4 linked regions of the Kluyveromyces lactis genome follow. The protein of the gene in region 4 purifies or fractionates together with the protein of the main gene of each other region. This does not show direct contact. Links are inferred from orthologs where the notes say so. Each region holds a gene or a part of one and is shown on either strand. Other genes may lie near its edges. The genes, in order: HRR25, DIM1, ENP1 and TSR1.

Region 1 (8,669 bases), on a different chromosome or scaffold from region 4:
GAGGATCATCAAACAGAACGGGAATGACTTTGTACCAAAAATCTGTTCTACGAAAAGGTTTGCCTCTTATTCTTTTTATCAGAAGTGAAAATGTGCGAACAATGCAAACAGACGTAGAATAAAACCATACTGGTATCCTTTCTCCGCTGCTGCGACTGGAAAAACACATTCTCCCTAGAATGACACTTCGGGCACTCTTTATCTGAACGCGGTAGTGTCGGGTCAGACCCTATATCTTGCACCACACCTGCAGTCTCACCAATATTCGTCTTCAATTCATGACGGTAAACCAATGGAGTACCTGCCTCTTCAACGTAGGGACACGTACGACATTCGAATAATAATTTATGTGTCTCTTTATCCTCTCTAGGATATAACATATTATTACAATCACGACAAAATCTGAACGTAGTCATTATGATACACTTTTATCTTTTATCAACTATCTATCGTCTGTCTATTCCTCTCTCTTAACAAAATCCGGTTCTTGGAGTATTTCAATCCAGTGAAACCACTAAAAATTAACCGTTTTTCTCTTAAAAACTACAAGTACACAACAATATGTTGCTTTTAAACCACAAAACAAACAACTTTGACCCCACTTAAACCAGAGTCACTTCTTATACACTCTTATTCCTATCAAAACCATGGCTCAAATTCTGGATCCTTTCCTAGTTCTCAATCGAAGCTTTTCAAATGTCGAAAAGTGTTAGCAGCATCTATCACTCCGTACGATTATCATCTGTTAGCTGAAAAATTTTGGGAAAAAAGCTTTAAACCTAAAGACAATTCCATTGAACAATCGAAACAGGTTAAACAGATTGTGGAGTTGTACTGTTGACATTCACGATTAGTTCTCCATCTTGAATCTAACCGAGAACAGCAGTTTTTATCACAGGTGGGTTTGGGAATAATATAAAAGAAAAAATGTTGCGTCAAGTGGTAAGATCATCCGGCGTTTTTGCAAGGAACAGTTGTAGATTAGGTTTGGTTCGTTATCAATCGACTGCTGGTACATCTACTCCAGCTGCTGCGGTTGATCCAAAGATTTCTCAAATCGTTCAAGATATCTCCAAATTGACTTTATTGGAAACTTCTGCTTTGATTCAAGAATTGAAGACTCAATTGAACATCCCAGATATTTCGTTCCCAGCAGCTGGTGCTGGTTCAGCTGCCCCAGCTGCTCCAGCTGAAGAAGCCAAGGAAGAAGAAGTCGTTGAAGAGAAGACTATTTTCTCCATCAAGTTAGAATCGTTTGATGCCAAGTCTAAGCCTAAGATCATCAAAGAAGTTAAGAACTTGTTAGGTTTGTCATTGGTTGAAGCTAAGAAGTTTGTGGAAAGTGCTCCAAAGGTTTTGAAGGAAAACGTCGCTAAGGAAGACGCTGACAAGGTTAAGGCTGCATTGGAAGGGCTAGGTGCCAAGATTGTCTTGGAATAGACAGATACGTCGAACACCTCACGCATGTAAATTCCCCATGTCAAAACGAGTTCTCTTCTCATTTTCCTGTACATAATAATAACCAAAAATATATTAATATAAACTCTTAAGATTAAGATATATATATATAAACGCAATCCGACCGACATAACAAAGTAAAAAGAAGAGGTAGTTTCACGAACGATCCGTTCAAAAATGAATCGATTATGAGTTATGTTTTTCTTTGAAGATTTCGTTAGAAATCTAAAAAGTATTGGCCGTATGGATCTTCGCCCTGAACGCCATAGTCCAGTTGCTCTTCCGGATATTGGTCGAACAAAGAGGAATCACCGACACCGACAGCGATTGGTGGCTCGTACGGCGTCTCGATGTCCTTTGCCACAAGCTTTTCCCATATAACTTCCGCAAACCATGGATGCGATTTGATATCATCTGGCCCGCTTTGTAAGTTACCTAATCTACGGGTCAAATCTGCAGTGATCAACTTACCTAATAGATCCACAACATCAGGGTGGAAAAATGGTGGATAAACGACTTCACCAGCTAAGATTTTCTCATAGGTCTTCATTGGCGTAACATCATAAAATGGAGTATAACCAGCGAGCATTTCGAAGATTAAGATTCCAAGAGACCACCAGTCAACAGACTTGTTATATGGTTTCGTTGTAATTACTTCAGGAGCAATGTAATCAGGGGTACCACATAACGTCCACGTCACTGTGATTACCTCTTTGGCGAACCCAAAATCCGTTATCTTGATATGCCCATTCCTATCCAATAGAATGTTTTCTGGCTTCAAGTCACGGTATATTATGTTATGAGAATGTAAGTATTCCAAAGCTAAAGTCACCTCTGCTGCATAAAACTTAGCCACAGGGTTGGGGAATCGTTGGGATTTTCTGAGCAACGAGAACAATTCACCACCTTCGATATAATCCATAACCATGAATAGATTACGAGAATCCTGGAACGTACCCCACATCCGAATTAAGAAAGGATGTTCAACCAGCTTTAACATCCGTCTTTCATCATTCGTATGCTCAATTTGCTTCATTCGAATGATTTGATGTTTTTTCAAAACTTTGATGGCATAGTAACGTCCATTGTGCACACTCCTCACGAGATGCACTCTACCGAATGACCCTGTTCCCAATGTACGCATGATTTGAAAATCATGCAACGTATATTTCCCCTTAGACACAGTAGACCTTTGAGGCAACAACGATTCCTTCTGCTGAGCCAATAAATAATCGGTAGATTGTGAACCCACGGTCACATCCGCCGGATTCACAGGATTGGTTGCAGGAGCTGGAGCAGTATTCATCTGTTGTAAATTCACAGGCTGATATTCCATCCTCTTGTTTTCCTTTTCCCTTGGGGTCAAAATCCCCTAGTTTACTCTAATGAATAAACAGTACAAAATGGGACAAACCAGTTTTTGCCTTAATTATAGCTTTGGACTGATAGTCTTATATGGATATTGCACTTTTTCAAGACTCAATGCGCCCTAGATTGCTCTCTTTTTCTCACCACAGTTGACTCTCCTTTTGTTGTTAGTTTTCCTTTGGTCTAGTTTTTCACAATTCACTGTTCATGTGAGGAACAGAAACCCTTTTTCGATATTTAGTAGTGGAATTCGTATATTGCGATAATGGCCTTGCCAAGGATGAGGAGGGAAACTTCAGCAGCAGCAACAATGAGCTGTGAACTGCGAGTACCGTAAACCTGTGTCAGCTGCCGATTCAGTAACCAGCTTACTTTCATGGTTGCTCATGTTGGTGAGAAAATCCCTGTGTGTGTTCTCCCCCATGTTCCACTATTCAAGTACATATAAGAAAGAAATATAAGTGTGAATTAGGTAACAGATTTCCGAGTTATAATTTATAACCAATGTGGGTTAGAAGCCCATGATTAACTGATGATGAGTTGTATATATGTATGAGCGTGTGTGATTTTTTCTACTCTACAGATTTTGCAACTGTTTGCGCATTGTTTTCGTCTTTTGCGTTTAAAGCCAGATATTATTGGTAGTGGTAGTTTTGGTGGTGTTATTAGGGTTTGGTAGTGGGTTGGTGATAGCCATTGCATTTGGATGCGTTTGTTGTTGTGTTTGCAGTTGCTGTTGCAGAAGCTGTTGTTGCTGCTGTTGTTGCTGCTGTTGTTGTTGTTGTTGTTGTTGCTGTTGTAACATCTGTTCTTGTTGACCTTGAACTTGTGCCCTTTGCTGTTGTAGTAACGTGGTAGGTTGAGGTAACTGTGTATCTAGTTGCTGACCTGATTGTGGTTGTCCTTGTCCCTGAGTTTGTCCTTGTCCCTGAGTTTGTCCTTGTGGTTGTCCTTGTTGTGGTTGAGACGCCACCTGTTGGTTCACTTCGTGCTTCAACTGTTCCATGTTTCTGTCGATAGCATTCATGACTTCATCTGGGATCGTGGAGATAACTTGGGTGTTTAGGATAGTCTGTTGTTTTATGTCTTCAGCAGTTGGATGAGAAGTATCATCTGGTTTCCAATAGTGGAAATGTGTTGAAAATTTCTTCATAGCCAATTGTTTCACTTTATCAAATGAATCCTGTTTATTACCATTTTCATCTTTTTGTTCCAATGCTTGGGCGCCTCCTTGTTTGTCGATCATGGCTTTTGTGTAACGCAACATGGTCCAATCAAACAAATGATCATTATGGTATTCCAACTTGATGAACAAATCCTTGAACAAACGAGCCAAATACATATAATCTGGTCTTTCATCGAATCTGAGGTTCCTACAATATCTCATGTATTCAACAAATTCCATAGGTAAACCTTGACATAGTTGTTCGACGGTGATGCACAATTTCTTTTCCATGATACGGTCGTATTTTTGTCTTTTTGTCGTGGCTCTGAGCCCCTGCCATGGTAAGGACCCTTTGCAGAAATATATCAACACGTAACCCAAACTCTCCAAATCGTCACGTCTACTTTGTTCGATCCCAAGATGCGTATTGACACTGGCATAACGTGCAGTACCAGTAAGGTTCTTATTTTCTCGGTATGGGATATGGTTATGACTTCTAAAATCTCTATACTTCTTGGATAAACCAAAATCAATAACATGCACGGTGGATCCACGTCTTCCGACACCCATCAAGAAATTGTCCGGTTTAATATCTCTATGAATGAAAGATCTGCCATGAATGTATTGGATTCGACAGATCATCTGCAGAGCAAGCATGATTACGGTCTTAAAAGAAAATTTCCTATGACAATAGTTAAATAAATCTTCCAAAGACGGACCCAAAAGATCGATCACCATAGCATTGTATTCACCTTCCTTCCCAAACCATCTGATGAATGGTATTCCAATACCGCCGCTCAAATACTTATAAACTCGAGACTCATAGTCTAATTGAGGATGCTTCGTACGAATCGGCTCCAACTTAATAGCGACTTCTTCACCACTAATCAAATTAGTCCCATGATAAATGTCCCCAAAGGAACCAGAGCCAATCTTCCGCCCAATCCTGAACTTTCTACCAACTCTTAAATCCATCTTTCTTTTTCGTTCCTTATGTCTGTCTTCTCCTGTTCACGTCTTACCTTCAATATTTCTAATCAAATGAAAGTATATATACCGCAGAACCTCAAAATAAGTCTTTATATCCACGTTCTCATGTACAAGCTCAAATACCAGAAATATCAAGTAAGATATTTTTATCCTATAATCAAACTCAACTGGAAACAAACGTACAGTGAGATATGTCAGTTGCTTGTTGCTTTATTGCTTCTCAACTTCACAAAATTGAGAGGGAAATTCTGCAACTAAACCTGAAGTTCTGAAATGAAAAAAAAAAAAAAATAAACCAAAACAGAGACCAAAAAAAAGGTCAAATTCCTAAGTATATAGTTGGGGAAAGATGGACGTTTTGAAACTATACTTTGATATCTGAGTTTCCGTATCAGTTAACCTGTGTTATGACACCAAATGGCCCACTAAATTCTCCGTCTAATGCTCTAACTCCACCAATGAAATATCAAACATGGTGATTAATTGTGGTTAAGTTGATTTCAATTTCAATTTTTGGTACAAAAAATAATAGTGTTTCTTTTTTCTACGAAGGGGATAGTAGAAACTTATGATCACGTGATATATGGTAGGGTAATTTCCAAAGCATGGTTTGCAGTCACATCCACATAATGACCGGGAACAGTTGGATTTATACGTGTATATTCAGTGCACAACCTAGTCGCATTGTCGTTTTGATCGCTGGAGAGGTTGTTGTACTTGGAGTTCGATCAATTTAGTACCCGTATAGTGTGGTTAGCCTGATAGCGCAGTACATATGGAAAGAAGTGTAACCTTTTTCGGATTGGAAACTATCAATAGAGTGTCATTCCTAAGGGACGACGAGGTTTTCATCAAGCAAGCGTTCGAACATGGAAGTACTCAGTTTGTACCGTTTATCAATGGGGCAGCATTCGCAACTGAGACTAGTGACAAGTCTGGTACCAATTTATTAATGTTAGGACATCAAGGTTGTCCTAACTACTCGGAATGGCCAGGCTTACTAAACAAGATAAGATCTGTCATGGATACCGAGAGAGGATGGTTAGTTGAATCCGGGTTCACAATAACGTTTTTAGGGTTGATGGATGGTGACAGCAGTTTTTCTTACAAGGAGTACACCGGTACCCCATTGTTTGCCATGGATTTGCGGCCAGCGTCCGATACTCTAGTTCAAAAGTCGGAGACAAAGTTCATACTAGATCAATACGAACCACTTGGGAGGATGCAAGCATTCAACCTAAGCAATGAAGTTGCTTCGCTCTTCTCTCATGCAAACATGTACTTAGATTGGCTGAGAAAGTTTTTGTTTTGTCCCGGATGTGCATCGAAAGTATTTCCTGTCCATGGTGGAACCAAATTACAATGTGGAAATAACGACGAATCTGTTAAATGCTCGGTAAGGGACGCAGCTGTTTCAAATGTGTGTTTCCCAAGAACAGATCCAGTGGTCATTGTTGCAATCGTAGACAGATGTTTCTCAAAAATATGTCTCGCAAGATCAAGAAGAAAGCACGGTAACGCGGTAATGTATTCCACCATCGCTGGTTTCATGGAACCTGCAGAAACTGTGGAGCACGCTTGCCAGCGTGAAATATGGGAAGAAACTGGTATTAAAGTTGAACTAAATGATGTGGATATCCTTTTCACGCAACCTTGGCCGTATCCCTGCAACTTGATGATTGGTTGCCTTGGTTTGATCGATTTTAATGGTGACAATGAGATAATTAATTTAGAACATGATAAAGAATTGTTGGATGCCCAATGGTTCGAGATGGAACTTGTGTCTCAGGCCTTTGAAAGGTACGGTAAAGCACCAAAGGGATTGGTAAATTTTGATGACAGGATCACTTTCCCTGGTGATACAGCTATCGCACATCAATTGATAGAGCATGCTGTAATCAAGTACAAAAGATTTAACGGACATTTGTAATAGTAACAAGCCGCATATTTCCGCTTTTGATTTTCATAGTAACCTCATATTATCCGCATGTAGCATATTTATATCAGAGTGTGAATTCGTCATATCATTCTGAATTCCTCTGCGTTTACCTCTGTTGTGTTGAGTTGCTTGCCAATTTCTGAAGTCACATATACATACACAATGCACTGCGAGCCTGATATGTGTGGTCTAAAACTTTTTTGATTTTCAGAAAACTGGAGGGTTGGCCGAGTGGTCTAAGGCGGCAGACTTAAGATCTGTTGGACGATTGTCCGCGCGAGTTCGAACCTCGCATCCTTCATTACTTTTTGGTAAAATGGTCTTAATGTATATAAATGGTACAAGCTCTTTTTCACTTTAGGTAAACAAAGTAAAATAGTTATTGAATATGACGGTAGCTGGAAACCATCACTTATTGATATTCTTCTGACAACACTTTTTTATTAGTATTACATTCGATCAAAACTAGAACAACATCGTGCGAAAAGAAAAACATAATATTAATGGCTAGACAAGGGTATCAAAAATAACGGTACTCGTAACATCTAGCGGCGGAATCTGCTTTCAATGGGATTCTGATTGAAATCACTGCACTACTTCTTTCCTGATTAATTGACAAAAAGTAATGAAGGATGCGAGGTTCGAACTCGCGCGGACAATCGTCCAACAGATCTTAAGTCTGCCGCCTTAGACCACTCGGCCAACCCTCCAATATATTTCAGAATGTCGTAAGATAGACTTAAGACAAGCCAGACGTGTTGAAACGGATCATAAACTATGATCGGGTAACTACCAATGTAATAGGCGGTTAAGTATCAAGATGATACATAAGGATTGTTTCTAGTTGAAACATCATTAACCAATCTGAATTATTATATAAGGAGGCATTAGATCTGAACAAGGACCATCAACACAGTCATGCCAGATCGCCAGGTGCATCAACATTCACTACTAGATATATAGCTAATAAACACTATGGATTCATCAGATACCAAAGATCTTGAAATAACAACACGTGACTGAAAATGCCGATATCACTATCCGCCTATTATATCGGTATTACTCGGTCATGCATTATGACTAGTTCCAAAATATTCTGATAGCGTATTCATTTTGATTGTTGCTGACGGTTATTTATTGTAAGATATCTGGGACAGTAGTCCGCCAAGTTCAATTGTGACTTTCAAAGAACTCAATTGTTCCCAACTCGTTGTTAATTGACTACTCAAGCTGACATAAAAAGCTTCAGAGACTTTTTTAGTTTTATTTCAATCTCAATTGCATACGAGGAACTCGTATGCAATTGGAACCTATACTCTAAAATCTGTCACTCATACTCTCTTATATACTATGGCAAAAAAAAGGAGCACCTTGAAAAGTACAGCTGTATTGAAATTCAACTGAATATTTATGTAGCAACTCAGCTAATATAGTCATTTGGTTCCCACTGACGATGATGTTGCCAAATATGCCATGGTATTTGATTTATATTACCTAAACTGTTATATGGTTTATTATACTGAAGTAATGCAGCCGATACAAAAAAATAAAAAAAGAAACTCGGTCAGAGGCTGAGAAAACCAGATTCAATTCACTGCTGTGTTCAATAATGTTGATGAGCTGAGCTGAGTTCAAATGACAATTTTAAGATTCTAAGGCATTTCTTCACTGTTAAAAGCCTCTGCATTTTGAGCCAAAAAGAATCCACAAAGTCACCGACTTTTGATGGTGGAATGTTCTAGATATCCA
Region 2 (8,109 bases), on a different chromosome or scaffold from region 4:
GTATGATTCTCCTGAGTATTGTCAAAAACCTGGTAAAAATAGGAATGTTTGATGACAGTAAGAATAAAGGTATTATATCTGTTTTGATAAAACTAGTTTAAATAAACGACAATCATCGATTGGATAATGGCCTGTTTGCCTGGTCCTTATGGCCAAAATATTAAATTAAGAAGCGCTAGATTTATAAAACAACGTCAGTAGAGTCAGATTTCTCAGGTGAGTTAATCTTCAAATTACGTAGTGATACTTCAGTAGGATCTGCCAAATAATTCGAAGAGTCGATGGAATGCACGCCAATGTCTTCTTGATCATCAGCGATCATATTCTTCTCTTGAAGCTCACGCTCAGTAAATGTGTGATAATAATCGATTTGGTCAGTTTCACCAACTGTAGGCTTGAAAATAGTGTTAATGATATAGTAAAGGGCGAAGGTAACGGCGAATTGGAAAATGAACGAACCTTGGAAGAAGTGTTCAATACCTGTATTGATAGGAATGTTTGGGTTAGCCGCATTGATCAAACCAGGCAAACCCGGGGCCGCACCACATAAGAAACAAAGGATGTTCTTCCAGTTAATACCGTACTGAAACCAGTAAATTGAGGAAGGAGAATCATCGTAACAGTCGGATAACTTGATAACGCCCTTTCTAATGACAAAATAGTCACAAACAAACATTGCAGTTAATGGTGTGATGAAAACAGTGAACGAAGACATAACTGTGAGGAAAGTGGAAGTAGCATTATAGAATAACCATGGTTGAGTAGGCCAAGCCAACAACATGATCAATATTGAACCTCTTCTGATGTTAATGTAACGTGGGAAGATAGAAGCCAAATCCATGCCACCAGAGATTGCATTACTGATACAGTTGACACCAAGCTGAGAAATTAGTAAACCGAGACCTGCAAAGAAGGCAGCAGCTCTGGACTTCGGAGTATAATTTAGCTGCATCCAATACATGCAGATATCATTAGGCATCCAAAAAGACTCGCCGTATTTTTCTAATAAAGCAGAAGCAGTAACAATACCCATCAAAGGAAGCACGATACCCATTACGTTGACACCGATTAGGATACCGATGTAAGCAGATCTGGGCCTTTTGTTGAAACGAGAGAAATCGGATTGGTTTGAAATACCAGCGATAATGAATGAATACCAAGCATTCAAGTTTGTGATCCAAGACCAAGCAAGGTCAGAAGAAGAGGCTGTAACCTTTGCAGTTAACAATGGTCCATTGGAACCACCATTAATAGTCACTGCCCAGATGGTGATTCCCAACCCGACAAAGAACATACAGAAAGACCCAAGGGCCAAGATATGGTCGAAGTATTCTGGTCTAATCATAAGCACCGGAGTATTGATTACCAAAAAAATCACAAACCCAATCAACTCCTGTCTCGTCATAGGTACTGATTCTGGGAAGGTATTGGGCAAATTCAAATATGTTTCACTCCACGAGGAAATGATCACATTCACACAAAGCCCTCCTAACCAAGCTTGGGAAGCAAACCACACCACGGATAAGATAGCTCTGATAAGAACACCAAAGGATGACCCACGCATTCCAAAGATGATACGCTGGAACACAGAGTACCCAATATGGTACTCTGAGCCATACACTGAGTTGATGATGGCTGCAATACTGATGAAGAAATTTGCCAAAACAATACATCCAATGGTTTGGCGACCATTCATACCCGAAAGCGTCAATTCACCATCAGTGCCCACATCGTACAACAACAACGCTGACCCACCAGACCACGTACTAATACACAAACAAAGCAATGTCCAGTATGATGTAAAACCATATATACCCCATTTTCTTCTTGAAACAGGCATAGGAACTAAATCCTTATTACTAGTTCTGTCGGATTCATCCAACACCAAAAGGTTGTGCAACTTCCCAAGAACCCCAGCCATTACAAACTTTCAACAATCTTTAAATCCTGGTGTTTATTGCACTAGTTAAAACAATGCCTATGGAGCAGCCAAGTTAAGTACGAACGAATACGATGCGAAAAACGCACAAACCTTAGTTTATGTATCGTCTAGTATTTATGAAAAAGAACAGTCTATTACTGAGATGAGATGAACCGAATTGAAAAAGATATACTAAGATTTGATACAAAGATTAGGCAAAAACAAACATAGAAATATATTGTCCACCAAAACAACAAACAAATGACTACTTTTAGTCTGTGCCCCCGTTCAATTTCAGAAGTATTAACGGCTGCATGGTACAAAACTCGAGACATATACAGAACCACTAGGAGACCCACAGTTTGTAGGCAAGGCTGCCTTTATTCAAAGGTAAACATTTTTCGAAGGAATAAAGAAAAAAAATTTTCACCCAAAAGAAACGGACCCTCTACGGCCGTTAACAGAAACAAGCACCCGTCTCTGTAGGTTCTTTAAAGTTCTGAGTAAATCGTGCCATGCTTGCCGTGTTAGCTGGATTTGGTTTCTTAGTTTTATTTACCCAATCTACGATAATTGAATCATTTTTTTTTAATAGAGTAGAATGTAGTAACCAAATTTGGCCCGTGTCATGTACTTTATTTTTGCCCACATCAGACCAGTGTGAGTTTATTATTGTTTTCAGATTGATTTTCGAGCTTGCCTTTAGATTTTTACGGGGTTTGGTTTTCAAGATCAGCAGCCTTTGCACCATCATGTCTCCGCAGAATGCCGAAATATGAAAGTGGTGGTTAGTTGCGAGATGCATTTTTCGAGACGCATTTCCGAGAAATTGACTACCTATTGAGTAAGGCGAAAGGGTTCTGACATTTAAGTGCATTTAACAAAACTTACTGGCTGCATCTTTGAGGCATCTTTAATACTTGCAGAAGTTGTCGTGCTAGAAAGAGCCTAGGAGGAAGGTAATTAGTGAAATAGAAAGGACAACTATCTCAGATGAAATTAATGGGTTATATAGTGTACATATAGTTTTCTATTAGTGCTGACGCGAGCAGCTGTTTCAATTTCTTTAAGCAAAGTGAATTCCTACTTGGTGGAATCCATACAATAACTTCAAAAAATCCGTTTGGTCGCATTTACCAGCTCTCTTCTCAGCTAATCCGGTCTCGCTCAGTACTTGCTCAATCTTTTCCTTGACTTCATTGATTAGAGAATCTCCAGAAGAGGTTGTAGGTACTGCAGACTGCGTTGCTAGGAAGGCCTTGTAATTCTTTTCCAATATCTCAAGGACAGTAGTGGATTTGAATCCTGCTGCAATGGTTCTGTTTTTCCTTACAAACACTATCCGTAACAAACCGTCCCATTCATTAAAGTCAACTTGAGGTCTAGGGTTCTTGATCTCGATCCTAACTACACTTGATTCGACCTTAGGTGGCGGCCTGAAGTTGTTTTTTCCAACTTTCATTATATGTGTCACATTTGCCCACATTTGGACGTTTGCCGAAAGCCTACAGTACAAAGAATCCCCCGGTCTGGCCAACAATCTCATGGCAAATTCTCTTTGAAACATGAGAATAGATACCCGAGGTGGTTTTGGTTGGTTTATTAACTTGAACACCAAGGGAGATGAAATCTGATATGGGGTATTACTTATACAAACATCGAAATAAGGCAATTCGGTCTTCATAAAATCCCCTAACAAGATCTCAAGTTTCTTCTCCACTGGCGTTCCATGTACACGTTTCGTCAGCTCCGCTGCCATACGAGGATCGAACTCCACGGCAACAACTTTCCTTGCTTGTTCCAAGATCCTCACTGTTAGATTACCGGTACCAGGACCAATTTCAAGCACAATATCCGATGGCTTTATTTGAGCCTTGTCCACGATACCTTGAGCAACTAACGGATTCTTTAGGATATGTTGCCCTAAATCAGTGTTAAACTTGAACACCGTAGTCAAATGCTTCTCAGCATCCACTTCTTTACCTCCAGAACTTGCTCCACTGTACTTCTTTTTAACTGCCTTGCCCATCGTTTCAGTGGATATAATTGCCAAGATACACAACTGCTTAGCTTCTTACCAATGTTATGCGATCAATTATAGACGCTATAAAATAGTGTAATTAACCCAATACGACCCGTTAAATATCTCCGCTGAGAGTCGTGTTCTCTGGTCATTTATGTATTCGATGCGATGAGCTCTCAAAATTTTTCAACCAGCCTGAAAAAGAAAAGGTTCTTTTCAAAGGAAAAAACAAACCTTCAATAGGATCCATGCCATTCCATGTCAAGTTGATATATATTTACGTTCTTGGAGTTACATAATCTTGTCATCTGTTCTCATCGATGCAGAATTGAAGTTTCCTCACCACTTTGTTAGCATTAATATCATCTGTGGTCTTCGAAAAGACTTGATCCTTGTCGTTAACATGTGTTTCATGAACAAAGAAATCCTTTAATTTGGCGTTTCTTGGCGGAGTGATGTACTCTGGTAGCTTACGGGTATGGTTCAAGTGTAAATTAAGATGGTGTTCTTGACTAAAACCTCTATATTGGATTGTACCAGGAAACAACTCGATGTCCAAGTCTTGCAGTGGCGATATGGCTGTTCCGTTAGAGCCTCTGTTTTGAGTGGCCTGTGCTCGTACTTTCGCAAGTTTATTCTCATCTATATTCTCTAGTTCTTGCTCGTTCTCGTCGTGTACAGCTTTCCTTCTCAATGAGACGTGTCTCATTAAGGCCACTGCCCGATCTTCTTCCGATTCTTCATAAAAGGCGAATGATGAAGGATCGTCGTCACCCTTCTTCTTGGGTGACCCCCTTTTGATAGAGAAAACTTGTTTCACTGGACTCTTCTGTAGAGCCCGCTCCACGTCGAGTTTAGTCTTGATTCTTCTGGGTGAACCATGGCTTGATGTACTACCGGTTGGTTTTGTTATCGAGTTCCCAGTGCTTATTATGTTTACGTTCTTTGACGTCAGAACGGCTCTCTTCTTCAGTGGAGATCTGTGTTGTATCATCTTGGTTGGGTGGCAGGCTCTATGTAAAGTGTTCCTGGTCAGACACCTTAAGATAAGTAAAGTAAAGATTTTGATCCTATTGTTCTTTTATAAAATACCTGATGACACTTTTTCTTAAGTTTTGAGACCCGCCAAATTTCCGCTAAGTATAGGAAACGCGAAATCCTCGATGCGAAATAAGACGTGAAGCTATAAAATAGAGAACGGCCTTGGAAAGTTTTCTATTATCGAGTGAATGGAACTGATTAAACAATAGTTCATTAGTATTGAATGTTATATACTGGAATTATCGTTTAATTAGCGCTGCTTAATGAGTTTATGTAAGTTGTGTATGTTGGGCGCCAATCACCATTTTAGAAGTTCCTCTTTGTAGCGTATGAATAGAGTGGAGAATATGAACTTCTCCCCTTTTATGTTGTACAACGGTAAGTGCCTATACCCTTGCTTCAAATAATTCAACCGTACACACGTTGTTGCGATAGTTTGCGTGGAGTTCTTGACTGTAAACCGCACGAAGTTGAACGTAGTGTTTGTAAGTGTACACTCGAACGACGCATTCCACACGGGACTGAAGCCGTTATCACGGAAGCATTTTGTCGAAAATAGTTGCGGTGAACTAAGGACAGGTACAGATACTGCTGGAGGAGCAGATGGAGTACTGAGTATTCCGTCTTCCGCGGACAAACCTGAAATAACAGTGGTTCCATTACTTTCACAAAGTGGTTCAGTCTTACCGCTGCTGCCGTTGCTATCAACGCGCTTGGTTGAGGTACTAGTAATGTTAGCAAAAGTACCATTTGAAGCATTACTCATGCTAGTAATTCCGGTAGCATGGGTAGAGTTATTGGAAGTATACCCCATTGGCTGCAAGCAGTTGGTAAGGTGAAGTGATTCCATGGTATTGTCAGTAATGAGTTCGATTTCTACGAATGGTGCTAGTATCTTGCAGTTTTGTAAGGATAACATCTGGCCAGAAATTACGTCCAAATGGATATGAATCTTCTCCCGTTTGAGCCTTTCCATAATTACTGGAATGTCCTTCATTTTATGTATCTCTTTTCGCAAGTGAGCGGGCTTCAAAACATACCCAGAATGCCAGATGGAATTTCTATCTAGTGAAACTTGGAACATTGCATGGTTCAATTGTTGTCCCAGGTCATACGTCTGCCAGTTTGTTGCGACCATTTGTACTCCTTCTTTCCAAAATCGTATTGGGTTGAAATTGGAGGATTTGTACCGCAACATGTGCGGATAGATTCTCATTAAATGTCTGCGGTTATGCTTGTTGATAGCGAGTTTTTGAGTTTCATCTTTGTCAAGATTGATAAACTTCTTCTCACTTAGTGAGAAGCAATGCGTAGTGGTTTTTGATTCAGGCAACGAAAAGTTTCTGAATCTTACTCCGTGAATCCCAGATATTTCATGAACCTTGTCTGATATCATGATCTTTGTTGATAACAATAACGATTTGTTGTTTCTCTTTGTTGTCACTGGAACTGTTGTCGTATTTGGAGAAGTGCTACTGGTAGTACTTTTTTGTAAGCCCCGCTTCTTGATTAACCGCATGTCATTTGTTTCAGAAAGTGATTCATGAGAGGAAGAAGACGTATAGGATGAAGTTGATCCACTTATAATTTCAGACTCTACAGCATGCGTCTTCTTACTTTTCAATATAATGCGATTTTTCAGCTGCTCTGGTGATAATAGTGAAGTGTTTGGTGGAATTACGAATATAAGATCTCCCAAAATTTCCTTCATAATTTTCGTTATCATTAATTGGTAATCCTTCTTACAGTGGATCTCTAGAGATACAATAAGCGGATAAGGTGAAGTGATAAACGCATATTTTCGTATCGTTTTAACAACATCTTCTAAGGGGATTGACTGTGTGAAAAGACCATGGCATACCACAGGCCCATGATCTCCTTGCCATATGTCTATTTCGATACAACGGCATCCTTGTTGCAAAGCACGAGTATAAGCTTCGACACTTACCTCGTCCACCACTTGCTTCCCCATAAGATAAGTGTTATGAGATGATGATATGAAATATTCGTTTAGCGGTCTAGAATAATCTTCTTCGAATAATTGTAGGAACGGTTGTTTTGTTAAGAATTTTAATAAACCCTCAACATCTAAAAGTTCATCAGCGGTGCAATACTTTTTGAAAATCTTATAAGCATTAGTCTGTGATATTACTTCACCTTGAACGTCACATATGAACTGGTAAAAGCTTTGAAAGTCAACCACCTTAGTATCCTTATTTTTCATTTGATTCCAGATTATTTCAATCTCCGGCCTAGCTTTTAAGTACTTGACAAAATCTTGGAATTCGGGGAAATTAAGCAAACTGTTATTGTTAGTGTCCGCTTTAATGAAAAGTGCGTAAAGGTAGTTATCAGAACAGTAGATATGATATCGGTTGCAAAGTCTCTTCACATCCGCGAAACTTAACGTATCTTTGTCCTGGTCTTCTTTCTTTGTGGAAACACTGGTCTGCCAATGAATATTGGCGAATTGTTCATTGTTTGGAACTGCAATATCTTCCATTAGTTTCCTCCTAGAATTCACCAAATTTACTGTCGTTTCATAAAAAGATTTGAATACTGCAGCGTCCTCCGCAATAACATGTAAAGCCTTTAATCTGTTTTTGTTCACTGAATAGATGATAGTACACCAAAGGTCCCGTGAAGGACAAGGAACATTGTACATATCCATATAATTGGTAGCCATATCACCACTCCGTATATCTTTGATGGTATCAACGTATATCAGCTTTTTTCCGTTATTCCAACTTATTGTATTCTGGTCTATATGGAAGGTGTACCGAACACGTTTCCGTCGTGTCACCTTAAGTAGAGGCAAGTCCAATGGATCTGCCGAGAAGGACCCAAACCCAGAATCCGTTGACTCTAACCTGAGGTTGCTCGACAATGCATATGTGAGAGGGCCACCAAGTTGGGACGTCTTATTTTTGTTCGGGTTATTATTAGAATTTCCATGCCCATTAAAACTAGGTCTTCTAGAAAGAAAGCCCTTGATGCCCTTGTATATATGATCATACACAAAGGATTCCTCACTTCCCGAGGAGGGAGCAGTACTCTTCGAGCTCATATCACTATTGGACCCATCTTCCAAAGAAAGGCTCCTCAAAATGCTTTGTGGCATAAT
Region 3 (8,545 bases), on a different chromosome or scaffold from region 4:
AGAGAGTTGATTGTCCCAAGAAGGCCTAAGTGGAATGAATCTATGACCAGATTTGAATTAGAAAGGTTAGAAAAGGAAGCATTCTTGGAATGGAGACGTAAATTAGCCTATTTGCAAGAAGACAACGAGGATTTGTTATTGACTCCATTCGAGAGAAACATTGAAGTTTGGAGGCAGTTGTGGAGAGTTGTTGAGCGATGTGATCTAGTAGTCCAAATCGTGGATGCCAGAGATCCATTATTATTCAGATCCACAGATTTAGAGAAATATGTGAAAGAAGTGGATGACAGGAAACAGAATTTACTTTTGATCAACAAAGCGGATTTATTAACAAGAAAGCAACGTATTATTTGGGCCAAGTACCTTCTCTCGAGGGGCATCTCTTTTACATTCTTTTCTGCTGCCAAGGCTAATGAAATATTAGAGAGACAAGAGGAACTAGGGGATGAATACGTTGAAGAAGAGGACGATGAGGAAATACTGGCTACAGAGGAAGAAATTGAAGAACTTGATGGGGAAGAAGTGAACAAAGAAATTCTGGATAAAATTAACATACTGAAGATCGATCAACTTGAAGAATTGTTCTTAGATAAAGCGCCAAACGATCCGCTACTTCCTCCATTGCCCGGTCAAGAGCCAATCATACAAATAGGTCTAGTGGGTTATCCAAACGTTGGTAAGTCTTCCACTATAAATGCCTTGGTGGGTGCCAAGAAAGTTTCTGTCTCTTCTACCCCTGGTAAGACCAAACATTTCCAAACTATCAAGTTATCTGATAAGGTAACGTTATGCGACTGTCCAGGTCTAGTTTTCCCTAATTTTGCATACAATAAAGGTGAATTGGTGTGTAACGGTGTTCTACCGATCGATCAGTTACGTGACTATATTGGGCCATCGACATTAGTGGCAGAAAGGGTCCCTAAATACTTTTTGGAAGCCATTTACGGTATCCATATTCAGACCAAATCCGTAGAAGAGGGTGGGAATGGTGAAGTACCAACTGCACAAGAATTACTCGTTGCTTATGCCAGAGCTCGTGGTTATATGACACAAGGTTTTGGTGCCGCAGATGAATCTCGTGCCTCTCGTTACATTCTCAAAGATTATGTGAACGGTAAACTCCTGTACATTAATCCACCGCCTCACATGGACGATGATACGCCATATACCAGAGAAGAATGTAAGGAATTCAACAAAGATTTATACACGTTCAGTAAATTACCTATCAACAGACAAGAGCAACTTGCAGAAGCTGCCAAACACAAAGGTATACAAGATTTGGATCTTGCTCGCGATTTAAGTCGATTAACGTTCTCTGCTCATATTGGTGGTGATGGTGATAAAGTACAAGCTAAATCTGTCAACCATGGTGGTAAACAAGCAGCCTTGTACAACGTAGCTGATGAACTTGACAAAAATTTCTTCCATTTGAACGGTGTTCAAGGCAGACTTACGAACCCTTTCCATAAGCAAACCGTCGCCAACGAAAATGGTAAGAAGCATAACAAGAAGAACAAGAAGAGTAAGAAAAAGGCTTCCATGTTTTCCGATTAATGTAAGTACTATCTAAATTCATCCTAAACTCTTATATATATATAAATCCACTGTTTGCACAGTCTATTATCCCCATTCATTATGGAAATGTAACTGCATATCCTTTATATCTTCCTTAGCTGCCCTGCTTCCGGTTATAAGACCTATGGTTAGCATGCAACTTGTCACTGCATTACCCGGTGTTTACTGAAAAATTTGATGAACCAAAAGAAAAGGATACAAAACTTGGTTAAAGTTGGTTTACTTTATACTTGACCTCAGTACATGGTCCAGTTGATAAGTATTCTTGTCATTTGTGGTTATCTTTTTGGTTCCTAGCTCAGCAAACAAGGGCTCTTAAACACATTTCGGCATGTTCAATTATGGTTCGCGTTGTGGTTATCATGGCGCAGACTTATTCCACGCATGTAGAAGTAAGCTCAAGATGCCCAGAGCTGGGATACTCCCATTTAACGCCCTTTTCGCTAACAACAACTGAATTCCTACAGTTTGTAGTTTGATAGTAGGTGGGCGGAAATATTACCCATTTAATTGGTTCAGTAGTTTCCTCTGAAATATTATGAGAGTCGTATGAATTTGTATATCAATAAGATTTAGCAATAGTTAACCAAGTTCAGCCTTATGTTATACTTACCATCGGTAGATACATTAAGTAGCACTCGGTCCACTCTTTCTTACATGCGCTTTTGTAAGGGTTGGCAAGGGTCATGCTTCAGAGTGAATGACTTTCATTCAGACAGCTCTGTTATTTCTTTGATTGAGGTTTGGGATAATATTTTAGTGACATAAAACAAAATGTAATATAGCCTTTAAAATAATACTTAGTACAATTCCAATCACAAATAAAAAGGGATAGCGCCTCGTTAAAGGACATTAACTGACGGAATATGACGACAGATTTAGACACATTAAGTGATCAACTACGCAAAAATTATTACAGGGACCTTTCGCTCTTTCAAGATGACGAAGACCCTTTTTACCATTATCTTATATCTACAAAACTGGCCACAAACTTAAATACCGTGAGAAAACTGGCTATAAAGGATAACTTGGATGATCCGTCTTCTGATGCTATTGATAGATACCAGAAAAACTTTAGCAGACTAGAGGAATCGGTTAGCTCTATCAGTTTCTCCAAAGCTTCTAAGTTGCAACAGAAATATGATGCATATCAGGAATCTCAAAAGAAAAGGCGATATAGTGTTGATTTCGATGCAACGCCCGACGTGCCTATAGGAGATGAGGACGATGTTGATATAATATCCAATGTTGAAGCAATTAATGACAACGATTCTTTGAAGGAGCTCCGCCAAAGGCTTATGGGTAAAAGAAGGGACAGCGCTGATACGGAGGGTGAATCATTTGACAAACAAATGCAAATTCAGGATGATCTTCAGAAGGAACTGGTTGAAGACATGTCCCAGCTAGTTTCAGGCTTAAGACAAGGTGCGGAAGCTTTCCAGAATGCTATCGAACACGACTCTACTGTTCTTAAGGCAGCAGAAATCGGATTGCATGTTACTTCTAAGAGCCTTTCTTCACTCGGATCCAGATTGAAAAAGTATCACAATGAAAAAATTGGATTTTTAATGAAGTTAGGACTTTTATCGTTTATTATAATTGGTCTATTGGTCACCTATCTTGTAATAAAAGTATTTCCAGATTTATGAGTGTCTTCCGCTAAAATCTCCAAGATTTAGATAAAGGCTCTGCTTCACTCAAAAGCTTCAAAGTACAAAATAGACTCATGAATATTCGATGAAATTAATTGATACCGTTTCCACTTATCGAATAGATTGATTCTATTGATTGTCTTATCTATAATTGCATATTATACACTTGTTTAAAATTGACAGGCACTTATATTGTTATAGGACTATTGACTACAGAACATCAAACATTAAATCAGCTTTATTACCAACATCACTGACAAATTCTCTACTATCACCGGCTAATAATTCTCTTCTGATTTCAGGTCCAATTTCTTTGTGACCTCTTTGACGAACAGTTTCAAGTAGGAAATCTCTTTGATCTTGGGTAATATCATTCTTATAACGTTGAGCAAACGCTAAGAAAGCTTTATGCCATACCACAGGTAAGACTCTGACGGCATCTTGGCCTGTACTTCCATCAGTGACTTCTCTGAATCTCATGAAGTAGAAGACACATTCGTCAACAGTTTGATAAGGCAAAGCATACTTCTTCTCGAGTAGAATTTTGATGAAAACGGTGGTGGCTGGGGAAAAAGGTAATCTTAAAAGGTAGGACAATGCTGCAGCAGAATGAAGAGCTGGCACAGAGACCTTGGATAACACACTTGCAGCAATGGTAGCTTCTCTAACATTACAACCGGATTCCACAAGTGGGAATAAGAACCCTTTGAAAAAGGCAGCCGGTTTATACAATGATTTCTTTAATGCACGGTAGACATGGTAATTTAAGTTGTGATCTTCGTTAAATTCAATTTCTTCTCTGAAGCGTGGTAACAACACAGCTATAACGAATTTTTGGGCCTCTTTAGATGATAAGTTAGAAACAAAAAGTTTAGTACCTTCGTATATAGCATGCGGAGACCATTCCTCTGGATTAGTAACATAGAGAACATCTTGCCAGTTATTTAGAGAAGGCAAAACTTTGAATAGTTTGGGTAGTTTACCATGTCTCCAGGTCTGCATAATGGTACCAACGGCAAGGTATGCTTGAATCACCTTGGGTGGTAAGGCGACACCTTCTGTACGATCTACAGGTGCAGCTGGTTCCGCTACTGCAGAGGCATCACCTGCTTCTTCTTCATTATACTGTAGTTCCATCTCTTTTTCTCTAATAGAAGCCATAATCTTATCGGCAAGGTTATATGATCCATTGGCAGAGTTGAAATCAGCAGAAGTCTTGAAATATTGGTCAAACATTTCAGCATCTTCTTCGTCAATTTCTACCACTTCTTCCTCCTCGTATCCTTCGAAATCGTCTTCATCTTCCGGTTCAAAGTCAGATATGTTATTACCTTGAGCTTCCTCTTCCTCAGCTACATCATCTTCATCCGCATAGTTGGCCACACAGAATCTGTTTATTCCTTGGCTGGATGTCTGCAGAGACTGCTCGTCCTCTTCCTCTAATTCTTCCTGCTGTTCCCTAGCTAATTGCAAAATTTTTCTAGATTGCTGGGCATCGACAAATTCTTCATCTTCATGGCCTTTTTGATCCTTAGCATCGATCTTTTTCTTACCTTGTCTTTTCAACTTACCATGTTGAGAGTCAAGATCGTTCAATAAAGGATCGTGTCTCTGTTTACGACCGCTGCCACCCATTACTTTACCCATTTTCTCCGTAGAACAAATAAATCTTGTATCACTAGTCGTATTCTGAGCACTAAAGCAGACACTAATGAGTAATTTTGTGATTGTTATCTGCCATTTACCTCATCTCATCTCATCTCATCTCATCTCATCGCTTCTCATCTCATCGTTACTTATTCAAATCCCAAAAATTTTCAGTCAATGCACGGACAGAAAAAGAAAGGCTAGAGATACTCTGTTTAGAGAAGTCAAAGGTTCAATTAAATAACTCTGGAGCATTGGCAGCGGGATCGTCGTGATTGAAACAGATATGCCACAGCGTTGAACACAAATTCAAGCTACTGTAAACAGCCAAGAGCTATGTTCTTCTAATGATTACAGGCAAAGAATGTTGTTTGTTTTGCACGTGACTTTAAAATCTGGAAAGATTTTTCAACTGCAGCTTAGATTCGTTTTACGTATATATAATTAACAATGGATCAAGTGTAATGTGATCTCATATGCGTGGTGACACATTGCTGGTCTCTTGTTCACTCAAGCTTCTCCCTTGAGTTGTACTTATCGATTGATCAAAAACCAAGTGTTCATTTCCGTTTTTTTCGTTCCTTGCAATCTTAGCAAAGTTACAATTAACATTAGACTAGGCCCTTCCAATTAATCTTTTAATTGACCACCAGTTACTGAAGAAATCATGTCTAAAAGATCTTCTAGTGTAGCGAACACTCCAGTTAAAAGGAAGCATTTACACTCTACTTTGAATCATAAGTTTGTTAGCATCAATTCTCAAGATGATTATAAACATTTGTATAGATCTGTTGTTCCACTTGACATTTTTGTATGGGGAACTGGATCAATGTGTGAACTAGGCTTGGGTCCTCTAGCTAAAAACAAAGAAGTTAAGAGACCTAGACTCAATCCCCTTTTGCCCCGTGATGAGGCTAAAATTGTGTCTTTTGCTGCAGGTGGAATGCACACCCTAGCGCTAGACGCTGACAATAACATCTGGTCGTGGGGGACTAACGACTCAGGTGCTTTGGGTAGAGACACTAGCGGAGCTGTAGAAAAATTGAAAGATATGGATGCAAATGATAGTGATGATGATGAAGATGGTGACCTCAACGAAATTGAATCCACTCCAACTAAAATTCCTAGAGACTCTTTACCATTGGACGAATTAAGATGTGTACAGATTGCTGCCACAGACAATCTATCTGCTGCTCTATTTGAAAATGGTGACGTTTACGCTTGGGGTACCTTCCGTTGTAACGAAGGTATTTTAGGTTTCTACAGAGATGAGATTACCGTCCAGAAAACCCCTTGGATAATCCCTAACTTCTCCAAGAAAGCCAAGATTGTTCAAATGGCTGCTGGGAAAGATCATATATTGTTCTTGGATGAAACTGGTATTGTTTACGCCTGGGGTAATGGTCAACAGCAACAATTAGGTAGAAGAATTTTGGAACGTTCTCGTTTGAGAACTTTAGATCCAAGACCATTTGGGTTGGATAACATAAAGTATATTTCATCGGGTGAAAATCATTCATTTGCCCTTTCCACGGACGGTAAACTGTACTCGTGGGGTCTTAATCAATTCGGGCAATGTGGTATATCTACAGAATTAGAAGATGGGTCCTTGGTAAGTGTTCCTACTGAGGTCATTTTGCCAGAAGGAGTTGAAATCGATTCTGTTTCTGCTGGAGAACATCACACTCTAATATTGGCGAAATCTGGTGATTTATATTCTTGTGGTAGATTAGATATGTTTGAAGTCGGTATTTCAAAGGATAAACTACCTGAGTACACTTATAAAGATGTTCATGGCAAGGCCCGTTCTATTCCTCTTCCAACAAAATTAGAAGACGTTCCTTCATTTAAGGCCATCGCTGCAGGCTCTCATCACTCCCTCGCTATTGCCAAAAATGGTATAGTGTATTCCTGGGGATTCGGTGAAACTTATGCAGTTGGTTTAGGTCCTTCTGGAGATGATATTGAAACACCTACAAGAATCAAAAACACGGCCACTCAAGATCACAGCATTGTCTTCATTGGCTGCGGTGGTCAGTTTTCTATTTCTGGTGGTGTTAAATTATCTGACGAAGAAGCAGAAAAAAGAGCTGATGAAATGGATGATTAAAATTAATAAAAGTTATCTGTACTTTCATTAGACAGTATTTGTGTATCTATATATTTACAAAATTAATTAAAAAGATTACGCACTAGGTAACAACCTAAATGAGTCGATATTAATCGATAAGGTTACTCGTTATCAATTCTGACTTTTAAACCTTTAGAGATCAGGTAATCCTTGACCTGGTTAACAGTGTATTCTCCTCTATGGAACATACCTGCACCTAAACAAGCATCAGCCTTTGTCTTTGTAAATCCTTGTTCAAAGTGACCTGGATTCCCTGCACCTGATGAGGCAATAACAGGAATTGAAACGGCACTTTTAATATGATCGATTAATTCCAAATCGTATCCTGAGTTTGAGCCGTCTTTATCAATACAGTTTAGGAGAATCTCACCAGCACCAAGGGCTTCACATGCATGAGCCAATTCCCAGGCTCCTAGGTCTCTGGATTCTCTACCACCCTTGATTGTACATTGATACCAGCACCAATTTTGCCCCTCAGGATTAGGCGATAAAGTTTGGAAACATTTATTAGGGGTTTCGTTCCTATTGTTAACATAAACTCTTTTAGGGTCCACAGAAATAACCACCGCTTGTGCACCATAAGCTTTAGAAATCGTTTCAATTGGAGATTTTCCATCACCCTTTTCTCCGTTAGCATAGTACTTTTCTGCAGCAAACACTGCATCTGTACCAATAGAAACCTTATCAGCACCAGATCTGAAATACATGCCGGCCACATCTAAAGCCGGTACTTTTGTGCCGTCAACATCCACGACATCTTTGATACCACCTCCGACTGTCAGTGGTACAAACACAGTCTTGGCAGCAAGTCTTAGCACATCCAACATTGGAGTATCCTTTAATGGACAGTTTCTGAAACTGGTGATATTTAAGAAAGTAACTTCATCAGCACCTTGTTCATAGTAACGTTGTGCGAGCTCTACAGGTTTTCCCAAGTTTCTAACGTTGCCTCCTTCTGTTTTTTCACGGACATCGTATTGGTCCCCTTTGGTTACCACTAGATCACCTTGATCATTCGTACGGACATCGAGACAAGCAATTATTCTTCTTGTCAAACCAAAGTTTGTATAGTCATTCCCTAAAAGAGATTTTTGTTCATCTGTGTACTCTGTAACTGGGTGAATACCTTTCAAAAAGTTATCTATAATTTCTAGACCGGCCTTACCAGATTTCTCCGGATGGAATTGTGTAGAAAACACATTATCCTTGTGAATGGCGGCAACAAATCTTTCGTTACCGTATCTTGTCAAAGCAACTTTCCATCCCTTACTATGCAAGTCATCAAGTTGTACATCATCGACGATCATAGCAAAAGAATGAACGAAGTAGTACCTTTTATAAGGATCTAAACCAAATGAAAGATCGTCCTGTGGAATAATGGTATTCCATCCAATTTCGGGAACACTTTTACCTTCACTGATATCAAATTTGGACAAAGTACCTGGGATTAAACCTAACCCTCTGCTTGAAGGAGATTCAGAAGATCCATCGAAAAGCGCTTGCAAGCCAACACAAATACCCATCAACGGCCTTCCGGATG
Region 4 (5,599 bases):
CTGATGCAGCACTAAGCCGTTAAGTACTAAACTCCAAATAACACTCATTGAAGAGAAATGGGGTTAATATATAATGTCGTCTTTCTTCGACATTCCTGGTTCATCACCTCACCATTCTAAATCTTTTTGATGGCTCGATACACAAACCACGAACTTCCTATCCAGTCGATTTTGATCTGGGAAACTAGCATCTCAATCTTGTTGAAATACTGGCAATTAGCAACTGTTAGATGACAGTAAGCCAACTGTGGCATTGTTTCCGGTAAAATTTTTGATTCAGCCTCTTAAACAATAAAAGACTTCAGAAACCATTCAACTTATAGCTAACATACTAAGTCCTAAAAGTAATCCGTGTCTTTTATATACACTAATTGTTCTACAAAATTTTCAAACTATCGAAGACCGGGTAAGAAGAAATTTCGATTCGAAGATGCTTGCTTAGGGCTGATGAGATGTGTCTATGTTCGTTCTACTATGGTCAAGGAGCCATCAGATAGCCGCATAACTGCGAGAAGTTTTCTGGGGAACGCTACAAACCAAAGAAACAAACGGTTTATGTACAAAGGTTATAGGACAACTTGAATAGATATAATATTCTTTATTCCTTTAAATTACAAACAATAAAAACGGGAAATATGTAACCCATTGATTGAAATCGGGAAAGGTTTAACGGTACTTGTAGAAACCAATGTCGTTAGCCTTTTCTCTGAAAGATTGACGATCGATGTTCAAACCGTACTTTCTGATCAAACCAGAGTGGGAACCGGAAATACGACATTGACGAGAACCCTTACCGAACTTTCTTGGGTGGGAGTACCAAACGTTTTCGTGAGCCATTTTCTGTTAAGAAGATAAATTGCAATTTGTTAGTAAAAATATTTCCAATATAGTAAAAAGTAAATATCAAGTAAAAATGGGTTTTGAATAAAACCCGTCAACTGATATTTTATCGTGAGCGACTGCTTTTAATATTGCGGACGTTTGGGATCCAGTAAATCTCCCCCATATGTAAACTAAATCATTTCAAAAATCAAGTAATTTTCCATTTCTTGTCCATTCACTTTGAATCAGGGAGATTGAAATTGATCTTGATCGTTCCTATAATTGTTGTAAACAAAATGTAGTATGATTCTTCTGACAGTACTTGTCTTTCCTATGCATTCTTTTGCCATTACATCTTTCTTGGAACTTGTCTCTAAACATGTGTAGGTATTCTTGATCACTATTCTTCCAATACTATAATATTTTAATGCCTATTCATTATAGGGATCACGCCTCCATTGTTATTATTATTGAATATTCTTTCTCATCATTATCCAGCATGCATAGTCCTGCTCCTTCCCATAGATGTCCATTTTAATCCCTAAACGTTTCATAGTTCGCACAGCGCTCATAAGATCTTATTGTGCTCCACATACGATTTGAATCTCTTGTTTGTGTATGCTTTCTTTAGCTCTTAAATGAGTATTAATTGCCTATATCATTTGGTACAGTTAATCAATCTTAAGTTTGTTAATATTGAAGAACCTGAGTTTGGTGAAACTTGCTCTAACCTGGCAAATTCCATCACCAAGACGGATAGTAACAAAAATGTTTTACCATATAAGGAATTTTCTTACCACGAATGAAAATCTATCTTCAACAGAAAAGAAACAGAAAAGAATAAAAAAGATGCACGGATGTATTGCCTCCAAAACAGTCACAGGCTTCACATTTCTTTTTTTTTTGTTGTCTGTCTTCTTTGTTGACGATTTTCTTCGTAACAAGTTGTACATTGAAAATTTTAATAGTGAAGCTCATCTCATCTAAGCTCATCACAAAATGCTGAACAGGTTAAATTGGATTATTTTCCTTGTTTTTATCGCAACTAGTCAACAACCATATTAGAAAGTAACATAAGGAAGAACAGTAAAAAGCTGTTTGTTTGATCTTCAAATTTTTACGAGACCTTTGCAATTTTTCTGTTCGAAATGGCTGGTCATTCGCATAGATCATCGGTGAAAAACGGTCACAAACCATTCAAGTCCAAGCATGCCTCTAAAGGTTCTTTGAAGAACGCGTTCAAAGGAAAAGTTGAGAAAGAAGCCAAGAATGGTAAGTCAAATAAATCTGTTTCTAAATTAGAGAGGAAAAACCTTTCTAAACAATTGAGACACCAGAAAATACTAGATACTCTAGAGACTAAGAAATTATTCGAGGGAAACAATGGTGCGAAGAAGATTATCACTGTCATTCCATTAACAGCAGATGTATATGCAGATGATATCGTTAAGAAATTGATACTATCCGCCGAAAATGACGGCAAAACAGAATCTGACTTAGAATTCGATTTGAAGATGCCGAGTGTCACTAATTTCAGAATCAATAAGTTTAAAACTACTCTTCAAGTGATTATTCCAGATATGTCCAATTTCATCAACATTTTAGACTGTGCTAAAGTGGCAGATTTCGTCGTTTTTGGGTTAAGTGGTACATCTGAGGTGGATGGTGAATTCGGTGAACAAATTATTAGATCTCTAGAATTCCAAGGTATTTCCTCCTACCTCGGTGTAGTCTCGAATCTTTCACAAGTACATCCAAAGGAAAAGTTCCAACTAGATGTTAAGAAATCATTAGAGAGTTACTTTACACATTTCTTCCCTAACGAAAAATCTGTTTATAACTTGGAGAAACCATCCGAAGCTATCAATGCCATCAGAACATTATGTCAAAAGTATCCTCGTACTGTCAAGTGGAGAGATGCTAGGGGATACTTACTCGCCGACAACATAGATTTCATAGAAAGCTCTGAAAACAGAGGACATCTAGTGGTACAAGGTATAGTGCGTGGGGCAGGCTTTAACATTGATAGACTCATTCACATACCAGGAATGGGGGATTTCCAAGTCTCCAAAATAGAGAAATTGGCAGCCTCAGCGAGAAGAAATAAGTCTACAGAAGAAGGCACGGAATTTTTGCCATCAGAAGAACGTGATATCTTGGAAGAATACGCAGCTCAAGATATGAATATGGACGAATGGTCAGATTACGAGGATGGTTTCGAATATGAGAACTTAACTGCTGCTAGGTATGATGATCATGGGTTCTTACCAGGCAGAGAACAAGAATCGAAAAAGGTGAAGCTTCCCAAGGGGACCTCTGAATATCAAGCAAGATGGTATTTAGATGACGTCATTGAAATAGGCGACGAGGAGGAACTTGAAGAGATTCAAGATGAGAACGTGCCAATACAAGAGGATGAAATGATGGTAGACGATGTAGATACATTCAATACCGAGCAAGCTCAATCAGAAATGGACACTCAAACTGAAGCTGGTGGAGAAGATATGTTTGTTGATCTATCTCCAGAGGAAGAAGAAAGACAACTCAGAGAATATCGAGATCAAGAAAAGGAAGATCTCGAATTTCCTGACGAAATTGAACTTGACCCACGGGAATCTGCTATTGAGTCGCTTAAAAGCTACAGGGGGTTGAAGAATTTGCACAACTGTAGTTGGGAAGTTGACGAGAGAGACCCCGACTGTCCAAGCGAATGGAAACGTGTGCTAAGGATTGGAAATTACAAGAACACTATGAAAAAGTTGAACAAGGAAGCAATTAAGTCCGCCCAAGTAGTTGCTGGTGATATAATAAAGTTGTACATTGATATTCCTAAGTTTTTGTTAGAAAAGCTAGCCGATCCAAAGACTGAGGTTTTCGCTGTTTACAGCTTGTTGAAACACGAACATAAAAATGCTGTAGTAAATTTCTCGATAGAGAGATGGGAAGAGTATGATAGCCCTGTTCCTTCTTCTGAACCAATCATCGTACAGTACGGTATTAGAAGATACACCATAGAACCATTGTTCTCTTCTGCATCCACTAGTCCAAATAACGTGCATAAGTTTGAAAGATTCTTACACCAAAACTATGTTTCAGTAGCAACTTGCATTGCTCCTGTAGATTTTACACAATCACCAGCAATTTTCTTCAAAACATCTGTTACAGACCCTAAGGGTATAGAATTGGTGGGACACGGAAGTTTCTTGAACGCTGATCACACCCGTATCATGGCAAAGAGAATTGTTTTGACTGGTCATCCTTTCAAATTCCACAAGAAACTTGTCACGATCCGTTACATGTTCTTCAGACCAGAAGATGTCGAATGGTTCAAGTCGATCCCACTATTCACGAAATCAGGAAGATCAGGTTTCATCAAAGAGAGTTTGGGTACGCATGGCTACTTCAAAGCTACTTTCGATGGGAGACTCTCGGCTCAAGACACTGTTGCTATGTCACTATATAAGCGTGTTTGGCCAAATGCTTCACTACCATGGTCAGATAAACTCCTGTAGTTCATGTATATACATATGGTGTTGATTGAGTAGGAAAACATATAGGCTTAAATTGGCACTTAGTACATATTATATTCAGTAATTTGTTTGATGTTCGGTTCCATCTCGAGATTTGTAACTCTTCCGGATTTTCGTACAGTTTTGTTCAAGCAATATAAAAATAAAAATAATAATTCTATGCACATTAGAATGCATATTTAGTATTTGACACTCAATTTGTAAGCTCTTGAAAGCAAGCCAAGTGCAATAAAGTAGGTTTTGAATCCTAACATAGAAGCACCGAAGAAATATACTATCAGATGAGCGATATTGTTATGTTTACATGCAACTCATGCATGATCCAGTTCCAATCAAGTGGTTTGCAACGTCATCATATGAAGACAGAATGGCATAGGTACAATTTGAAAAGAAGAGTAGCCCAACTAGCTCCAATCAGTGCCAGTTTATTTGCTGAGAAGTTGCAAATGTCAAATCGTGAACAGGAACTAAATCAAGTTGATGAGTTTGGCTTCCCAGTATTAAAACCTATTAACCACTCCCGCGGATTCCAGAGAAAGGGAAGAAAATTAGGAAGGAGTAGATTAGAGGGTCTTCAACACTCTGGCCAAGATTTGAGATCCTTGTCACCAGCATCGTCTATTACATCACATGCATCTAGAGCCACTTTCAGAAGTACTGATCTTGAAGAAGAGGCCTTTTCAGATCATGGCTTCACTACCGAGGATTCTTATTCACATTATTCAAACACCGATCATGAATCATCTGATGAATCAGAGATTGGAAATGACCACGAAAGGATTAGTTCTACGGAGTGTATCTACTGTGGGAAAAACTCGAAACAAGTTGAAGCAAATGTTAGACATATGTTTAATAAGCACGGACTATACCTACCTGAACGCTCATACTTGACCGATTTGACCGGTTTACTTAAGTATTTGACCGACATCATTATCGTCAACAAGAACTGTCTTTGCTGCAAATACCAAGGATCATCAGTTGAAAGTATAAGGGCACATATGTCATCTAAACACCATTGCATGCTACCGTATGAAACAAAGGCAGAAAGAGCAGCTATATCGCAGTTTTATGACTTTTCTTCACTAGATGAAGCAGCAGTTTCTGATAGTTCAGCCAAACATGGCACGTCTTCATCCGTATCGCCAGTAACGTTTGCAAATAGTGAATCCATTATTCAGACGGCAGAATTACATTCTAGTGAAGACGGGGCTGATGAAGCGGAGGCTGACATCAATTCCAATTATGCG

Evidence for each region.
Region 1: the proteins of TSR1 (region 4) and HRR25 purify together in Saccharomyces cerevisiae (affinity purification with mass spectrometry; 5 studies listed by BioGRID). This does not show direct contact. The link is inferred for Kluyveromyces lactis from reciprocal best matches to the Saccharomyces cerevisiae genes TSR1 and HRR25.
Region 2: the proteins of TSR1 (region 4) and DIM1 purify together in Saccharomyces cerevisiae (affinity purification with mass spectrometry; 8 studies listed by BioGRID, with this or other methods). This does not show direct contact. The link is inferred for Kluyveromyces lactis from reciprocal best matches to the Saccharomyces cerevisiae genes TSR1 and DIM1.
Region 3: the proteins of TSR1 (region 4) and ENP1 purify together in Saccharomyces cerevisiae (affinity purification with mass spectrometry; 16 studies listed by BioGRID, with this or other methods). This does not show direct contact. The link is inferred for Kluyveromyces lactis from reciprocal best matches to the Saccharomyces cerevisiae genes TSR1 and ENP1.

What each region holds. Positions count from the first base shown.
Region 1 is NC_006040.1:262,058-270,726, reverse strand, and holds HRR25 (serine/threonine protein kinase HRR25), read right to left. Parts: upstream 4,967-8,669; coding exon 3,449-4,966; downstream 1-3,448. Other genes in the region: DNA-directed RNA polymerase II core subunit RPB9, read right to left, coding at 48-416; MNP1 (mitochondrial 54S ribosomal protein bL12m), read left to right, coding at 928-1,440; cAMP-dependent protein kinase catalytic subunit TPK2, read right to left, coding at 1,676-2,794; NPY1 (NAD(+) diphosphatase), read left to right, coding at 5,757-6,911. UniProt on the Saccharomyces cerevisiae protein: Protein kinase which phosphorylates serine and threonine residues. Can use casein as a substrate. Phosphorylates elongator complex member ELP1/IKI3 on 'Ser-1198' and 'Ser-1202' which promotes the tRNA modification function of the complex.
Region 2 is NC_006040.1:54,907-63,015, forward strand, and holds DIM1 (putative dimethyladenosine transferase), read right to left. Parts: upstream 3,951-8,109; coding exon 2,988-3,950; downstream 1-2,987. Other genes in the region: KLLA0_D00550g (nucleobase cation symporter-1 family protein), read right to left, coding at 182-1,921; KLLA0_D00572g (uncharacterized protein), read right to left, coding at 2,379-2,798; ACM1 (Acm1p), read right to left, coding at 4,249-4,938; PLC1 (phosphatidylinositol phospholipase C), read right to left, coding at 5,284-8,109. UniProt on the Saccharomyces cerevisiae protein: Specifically dimethylates two adjacent adenosines in the loop of a conserved hairpin near the 3'-end of 18S rRNA in the 40S particle.
Region 3 is NC_006042.1:634,940-643,484, reverse strand, and holds ENP1 (snoRNA-binding rRNA-processing protein ENP1), read right to left. Parts: upstream 4,875-8,545; coding exon 3,438-4,874; downstream 1-3,437. Other genes in the region: ribosome biogenesis GTPase LSG1, read left to right, coding at 1-1,554; SNAP receptor USE1, read left to right, coding at 2,442-3,224; SRM1 (Ran guanyl-nucleotide exchange factor), read left to right, coding at 5,542-6,984; HIS7 (imidazoleglycerol-phosphate synthase), read right to left, coding at 7,107-8,545. UniProt on the Saccharomyces cerevisiae protein: Required for normal export of the pre-40S particles from the nucleus to the cytoplasm.
Region 4 is NC_006041.1:450,766-456,364, forward strand, and holds TSR1 (small subunit rRNA maturation protein TSR1), read left to right. Parts: upstream 1-1,970; coding exon 1,971-4,334; downstream 4,335-5,599. Other genes in the region: KLLA0_E05127g (40S ribosomal protein uS14), read right to left, coding at 667-837; REH1 (Reh1p), read left to right, coding at 4,634-5,599.